2 linked regions of the Daphnia pulex genome follow. The protein of the gene in region 1 binds, or shares a complex with, the protein of each later gene. Links are inferred from orthologs where the notes say so. Each region holds a gene or a part of one and is shown on either strand. Other genes may lie near its edges. The genes, in order: N-alpha-acetyltransferase 35, NatC auxiliary subunit-like; N-alpha-acetyltransferase 38, NatC auxiliary subunit-like.

Region 1 (4,309 bases):
TAAAACCAGTCGATGTTTTGTGTGGATATCATGAGATATCAGAAGTTTATCTCCGTAGCCTTCAACAATCAGCTGATAAAGGCGATTTATTCGTTGCGCATCGCTAGGCATGTCAATCTGGCCGTTCAGTTGATAGTGTGAGCACTCGACACCAAACAGATCAAACTCCAAGTATGAACCCATGGCAGCGAAATCAAATACATGTTCGTCCTGAATCAAAGTTCCTATAATAAAATGTGTTTAGAATAAGATAATATTGTGAGAAAATAACTTGAAAAAATGTTACTGTCTAAATGACATAGAGACACTTGATCCGCCTTCCCTCCCGCCTCTAGAAAATGTCTGAGAACTTGAGCAGGCGACGCTGGATTCCGTCCCGGATGAATGGAAACTGGGCACTTGAGTTCATTTTGAACTATAGCGGCGGCTTCTAAAACGCGCTTTTCAAAATCTAATAACAAGTAATTATTATTTCAAATCGTTTCTCTTTAATAGTAATTTGTAGTTCGTACTGTGAATGGGATAAGAGCATCCGATTTCTCCGATTAGCCCGCATCTTATCGCGGGTGCTTCTAGGCATCCTTCGGTCTGTTCTGTTCGCATTACTTCAGCCAGTTTCTCGATGGGCTCAACAAAAAGCTTGGAATCCTGTGAAGCTGCTACATAGTATCCAGTTCCAGCTATGATGTTGATTCCAGTAAGAAGACTCACATCATAGAGAAACTGTGCCTTTCGAGAAATTCCATGAGTAGTACATTCTACAATTGAGCCCCCACCAACTGAATGATAGTGCTTCATTTCAGCAATAATGGCTTGCTCACACTCAGTGCCATTCAGATGGAGGTTTGGTTGATGGCTGTATGGGTTATAACGGATCCAGCCCAAAGTTTCCATGGAAAATGGCAATGTAGATTTATGAACATCAGTTTCAATAGGTTTAACAAAAGCAACATCAAAATTCATTGATAAATGCTCATGAACCATTGTTTTTCCTAGAGCTGAAGGAGGTATAACTCCTGTGACTGTTTAAATACAGCAAACATTCACCATTTATGTATAATTAGCTATCTTAAATTTGTTAAGTGTTCACCAACCTGTTTGAACTTTTCCAGAAAGTGATAAATTATTTATAGGAATAACCTCCATTTCATTTATGCGTAGAGAAAATCTGAAACACCAATAATAGTGATACACTGATACGATTCAATAGAGCTAAATTCTTTTTGACGTTTAAACTAATGTAAACATTGCAAACAATAGGTATGTTATGTTTGTCACGGTCGCTAGGTGGCTACCAACGATCAGCTGGTCCGCGGAATCGACAGGACCTTTTTGAGGAAGTTATTTTGTTGGTATTTTTTGTTCTTTTAATTCCTTCGGGATTTTAGAATTTAAAATGGCCCGTCCTCCTGAAGTTGTATATTCTTGGACAGATATAACCAGTGATTTCAAAGCTTCAGTCAAAGGTAAATTGTGTACCACAACTTTGCCCATGTTGATCAGTCGTAAACCCTCACATGCTCTCTCTAGACTTGGAATTGGGAGAATTAGCCCATGATGACTTGTTTGGTTTGTTTGAAGCCATGTCTGCAATTGAGATGATGGACCCCAAAATGGATGCTGGAATGCATCAGACTACCAATGGCACCAAAAAAATTCTCAGCTTTGATCAAGCTGTGAAAGCCGAGAAACTGGAACTGAAAAAAGTCAATCCCGAACAGTTTATAGGTACACAGACAATAATAATTTTTTTTTTAAATTATCTTTTGTTACCATAATTTTGTAAATAGGCATTGTTGATAACAGTATAGCCTGCCTAGTCACATGGCTTGAAGGTCACTCATTAGCTCAAACAGTGTTTATTAATCTCTATGCACAACATCCTCAAAAGATTGAAGACCGAAATTTGAAGGCCTTCATAACCATTTTTCTCAAAGTAGTTGATCTCATCAAAGACTACATCAACCAGTGAGTGTCATCTTAGTGAATGAAAATTTTGTAGTAACAAAGGATTTTTCTATTTAGAGCATCAGTGTTTGAAGAGGAAGACTTTCAGCCTTTGGTTTATGGATTCAAACTAGCATCTGATGTTCCAGAAGCAAAAGCTTTAGCCTTAATCAAAGAAAGTGAAGAAGATTTGATGAAAGAAATTAAAAATTTTTCACCCTCAAGTTCATCAATTGAGGAATCCCAGGAAATGAAGGTACTCAGCCATTTATTATCAGTTTCAGATTATTATTGCAAATTTACCATTTCTATTATGTAGGAGATTAGCGCAGTCCATACCCGATTACGTTTCTTTCGGCATTTCTATCAACTGTTATTGAAATTTAATCGTCGAGAATCACCTAATGCAACTGTTAATGCCAACTCATTAATTGAAGACATCCTAAAATCTACCCATGTTTGTCGCGAAGCCTTAAACTCATGTTTACAGACGATCTCTCTAGGCTCAGGATACGGTAATTATATTATATAAACTTACTTCGTCGTTTTCCCTTGGAATCCAATTTGTTACTTCTTTTGAACAGGAGCCGACGAAATTGAAATTATGGGATTTGAGCCTCAAGTTAACCAACGGCTCTTACCACCCACATTTCCACGATATACCCAACTGCGTTCTCGAACTGATGCCATCAACAATTTAATCCAGTTAATGGACCGCTTGAAAGCAATGTGTAAAATCAAAGATCACACGAATTTCCATTCTGCTTTGGTAAATTATCTTTTAGACATTCTTTTCAAAAGGGAGTTTCCAACACAGTTATTCTTTGTTTAGGATTTTTTCTATAACATCGGCCGACAGCGGCCACCACCTTGCGTGTTGTCCCGGTCATTGTTACAGCTTCTCTATATCCCGCTATGCAACCGAGTATTTGGTCAGCAACCCCTGACAGAAGTTCTTCAAGAAGCAGCCCGGATATTCATCGCACCACCTGCATTGACTGGCGGCTTGGGTTTGGTTGCTGGTACTCAGCAGCACAATCAGGTTCAAGAGTGTATCGACCAGCTGTTCCAACAATGTGTTCGACCGATGGGCTCCTTGGTTCAAATTGCTGGCCATAATTTAGCTCGCCAACGGGATAAATTCGGACATATTTTGCAAGATCTAGCTGCTCTCCAGGAAGAAGTAATATTGCACTTTTCAACTTAAATGGGCTTTACCCAATAATTAATTGTGTTCCCCCTCTTGCAAGGCTGACAAAGTGGATGCATATCTGCATACAATCTCCCTGCAGACGGACAGCGGGCGTTCTCACTTGGCCTGCCTCGGTACTTGGGTCCTTTTGCACACGCTACGGACAATGATTCAGTATTTGTTCTCTGGATTCGAGCTCTCTCTGTACAGCGTCTACGAGTATCATTACATCTTTTGGTACGTATCGATCATAGTAGTAATCGGCCAAAGGGAAACTTCATTAGCGGCTCCGTGAGAGCTTGAGATTGATTTTTCCCGTTTATGGATGAGTTGTTAATTTATGTGTGTGGCTCATGCTGATAGTTTCGCTTTGGGGGGTTTTCCTTTCTTCATTTACACAACTTTTGTACAAAGTAGGAGGAGGATTATAAAGAAAGAGAGGCCAAACTAACGGTTTCCACACACACACCGCGGTTGAGTGCCCCCTGTCTAGTCATAAATATGGGATGAATGTTTCCGATGTTCCGGTCGAATCGTTTATTTTGGTTTTTTCGTATTCGTGTGCTAGGTATCTCTACGAATTTCTCTACGGATGGCTGATATCGGCTTACAACCGAGCCGATTCTTTTTTGACGGAGCATCAGTCGATGGCCGAATATCTGAAGAGCAAAGGCAAGGCGGCTAACGCTACCAACAAGAAAGGAGGTCAGAGTGGCAACGGCAAGAACAAGAAGAAGAAGGAACGTAGCGCTACCGCTCGACCCTACGCCAAGGAAATTGCCTATTGCCAAGCCGTCCAGTCTATGTGTGGGGGCTATTATAAGGTAAAGATGGCCAACTCACGGTCCATCGTCCCCGTTTCTTCCTTTTTGCCCAGCATTGTAAATCTACCCGCATGCCTTATAAGGAATGACATAACTCTTGCACTTATCCCTAAAGCTGCGGATGCTCCTTTTTTCTCCATCAAATAAAAAAGAAAAAATCAGAGACAAACAAACAACACACGTAACATGGGTACAGTATACAGTTACGTGTACCCTATGCGTGACCCAGTCTGCTGTGGTGGTTATAATCTTTGGACTTTATTTTTGTTTGTTTCTTTGGCTGAGAGAAAAAGGTGAAGGTATCCCACTGTTTCTTGTGGGTGGTTTGGAAATATGGTAAAATTCC
Region 2 (2,766 bases), on another chromosome or scaffold:
GAAGAAGCCATTCTTGAGGAGATTCGAGCCAGTGGAGGACAGAAAACCGAAGATCCGTTCACACGGAGAAGCACTAGGCCCGGAAAGTCAGGAGGTTACCGTCCTAATGCCGATGGAATTCCGCCTGGACCCGACCCTCTTGCCCCAGTAATTAAAACTGAAAGTCAGTCGGCAACTGCCAATAATGAAGGCAGAACTGATTCGAAAGACAAAGCTAAACTGGTTGCAAAGCCAAAAACTAGTGATCTATTTTCTGCACACGATTTTGATATAAAAATAGATTTAGAAGTCCCTCTTCAATGTAAGTTAACTAAAATAATCAAGAATTCAGTTGACATTTTAATTTTCTATTTTTGATTACAGCTCAACCAGTTGCTGTCACTCCAAAACCTGTGGCAAACCTGAAAGAAGCCCCTCGTCGTTCCCTCAACTTAGAAGATTATAAGAAAAAGCGTGGATTAATTTGAACTAGGAGCTCCCTTTACTCACATTGACTTAAAAGCATAAAAGACTAATAAATTAAAATCTTAACAGTCAGGATGAAGCAATTGAACTGACAAACAAATCAACTTTGTATTCCTCTGATAGTGTTAAGCATGTATACACATTAAGCCAATACACAACCTGGCTGATGTCATGTAATATATGGAGAGTTGTGTACCATCAGATCATCAACTGAGATTGAAACAATATACTTCCCTGGCACCATTGCCAATCCTAATACACGTGGCTCTTCAGCAGCATTATCTGTTTGTGTTAACTGTTTCTAGTCACTGCAATCATAATGTTAAGTCAAAACTTGTTTTACCATCTGGAGGAGGGTACTCATAACAGGATCCAAGAATTATGTTGCAGTCTCTGTCTGTGCACAAAAACTGCCCAATCAAGGTGCGACCGTCTTCAATCTCTATTTTCATAACAGCGTTGAGCCAAGATTCCAGTTTCAACCTTCCGGGAGATTTAACCTTTTGCAAAATAAATGAAATTGGTGTTGTGATGAGCATTTAAGACTAAGAAAGAATAACTTCTGAACGTACTTTCATAGTAAGTTCCTTTTCTTTTGATGACTCCTTCGAAATATCAACCATTTCAATGTTTTCGAGCTTTGACAGACCGTCCATTTTCCCTCATTTCCACGCATTTAGGGTATCGCAACAGAGATGGCGTTTAAGTAGCGCGAATTTTAAACGAAATTAAAAAAAAAACATTTTACAAGTTTTTTGACATCTTATATCAGGAGTATAAATAAGGGAAACCGGTTGTGTATAGGATAAATTAATAAAATCCTTAGGGTCCTTTGTATTATAATAAAAAGGAATTTTTTGACTTTTTTATTTAATGTAATATGAATAAATCGACTTGGTAGCAATTGTCCCTCATCATTGCGTCTAGGTGATAAGCAAATTTCAGATGATAGTGCCCATGAATTATGATGGAGCTTAACGTGCTAAACAGCTTAAGTGGCTGTCAGAGGTGCAATCGTTAATCCCTACACTGTTTTTGTGTGATGTTACCGCACAACTAGTACTTTGTTTTATTACTCAACAAGTTCCTTCGAAATCAAGGATCAAGCAATGTTTGAGACGAAACAATATTTTCTGTACTTAACTATGAAAAAAAATACAGTCAGCCAGTCACGATTGTAAAAAATTAAATTTCCCATTTCATACGAAAGAAATCAACATAGCAACAGCCAAGACCTTACCTGTTTTTAATTTTATGACCCTTTTAGATTTTCCGACCTTGCTTTAAAAAAAAAAGAAACACGAAAAGGGATTGGCAGAAGATTGTTGATAGGCCACTGTGAAAAACATGTTTGTCTGAACGAAGAAGAGCGGAAGGGGCTTTAAAGTAATTTTAAAAAATAGGTCGAAGGGGACGCGATTGTTAACCTTGGTTTGGTTGTGACCAGCACAATGCGATGTGGGAAAGCAGGTGAACAATTTCACCTTTGAACTAGGTCAGTTTTCATATTTGACTTTCCCTCCTCCGCATAGTAACCGTTAATTCAATTCCAGCTGATTTGTCCGTCTACCTGGAACTGGACTATTTAAAGGCCTGCGATTTCTTTGGAAGACACTCACTTCACCTTTGCAAGTTCTCCAGTCAACAGCACTCCAATTCCTACTACTTCATCATGAATACCTTCAAAACTGTAAGTATTAAAACTTTTAAAATTTCCTTTTATTTAAATGTTATTTCCATGTTTCTCTAAATTTAAGTCGAGTTTTTTTTTTTTTTAATCTTTTATTTTTGACATTACGAGTCGCTTGAAATACTTCATTTATTTACAAAAATGTTTTGTCTTAATTATTTAGGTCGTTATGATCTGCGCCATGTTGGCTGCTTCCTGCTCCGGCCAATACTTGTCTCAGTGAGTTTGAACTTTAATTCCATTTTATACTTGGAGAGTCTTGCGTCATTCAATGTTATTTATGTTATAGATCTTCCAGCCAAGGACCTCAATCCGGAAGCGGAATGATGGGCAGCCAATTGCCGTCGTACGTCGCCCAAGCCCAGCAGAGCAGCCCGGCCCTGGAGCAGCAAAGACCGGCCTTTACCGCTGAACAATCCCGACCAGTGTCCAGCGGCAGCTCTTCTCTCCTTGGCGGAGGCGCATCTGCTCCGGCCACTACCCAGCAGATCTGCTCTTGCATCACCATCAACCCCGCAGCAGCAGCAGCATCATCCGCCCAGCAATCCGCCCCTGCCTCATCGGTTGACTCCACTGCCCAGCAGACATTCTCTGCCCCTGCCCAGCAGACC

What was found.
Region 2: N-alpha-acetyltransferase 35, NatC auxiliary subunit-like (region 1) and N-alpha-acetyltransferase 38, NatC auxiliary subunit-like share a complex: the UniProt entries of both Drosophila melanogaster proteins name them as parts of the N-terminal acetyltransferase C (NatC) complex. The link is inferred for Daphnia pulex from reciprocal best matches to the Drosophila melanogaster genes Naa35 and Sbat.

What each region holds. Positions count from the first base shown.
Region 1 is NC_060021.1:6,739,699-6,744,007, forward strand, and holds the start of N-alpha-acetyltransferase 35, NatC auxiliary subunit-like, read left to right. Parts: upstream 1-1,278; 5' UTR 1,279-1,396; coding exon 1,397-1,466; intron 1,467-1,530; coding exon 1,531-1,728; intron 1,729-1,790; coding exon 1,791-1,968; intron 1,969-2,025; coding exon 2,026-2,203; intron 2,204-2,266; coding exon 2,267-2,462; intron 2,463-2,531; coding exon 2,532-2,716; intron 2,717-2,779; coding exon 2,780-3,130; intron 3,131-3,197; coding exon 3,198-3,376; intron 3,377-3,707; coding exon 3,708-3,963; intron 3,964-4,309. Other genes in the region: phosphotriesterase-related protein-like, read right to left, coding at 7-224, 287-451, 513-1,022, 1,095-1,146. UniProt on the Drosophila melanogaster protein: Auxillary component of the N-terminal acetyltransferase C (NatC) complex which catalyzes acetylation of N-terminal methionine residues.
Region 2 is NC_060019.1:7,926,603-7,929,368, reverse strand, and holds N-alpha-acetyltransferase 38, NatC auxiliary subunit-like, read right to left. Parts: upstream 1,158-2,766; 5' UTR 1,122-1,157; coding exon 1,038-1,121; intron 966-1,037; coding exon 809-965; intron 748-808; coding exon 635-747; 3' UTR 549-634; downstream 1-548. Other genes in the region: RNA polymerase-associated protein Rtf1-like, read left to right, coding at 1-301, 364-467; type IV pilus biogenesis and competence protein PilQ-like, read left to right, coding at 2,138-2,155, 2,319-2,374, 2,445-2,766. UniProt on the Drosophila melanogaster protein: Auxiliary component of the N-terminal acetyltransferase C (NatC) complex which catalyzes acetylation of N-terminal methionine residues. May have an accessory function in the survival motor neuron (SMN) complex.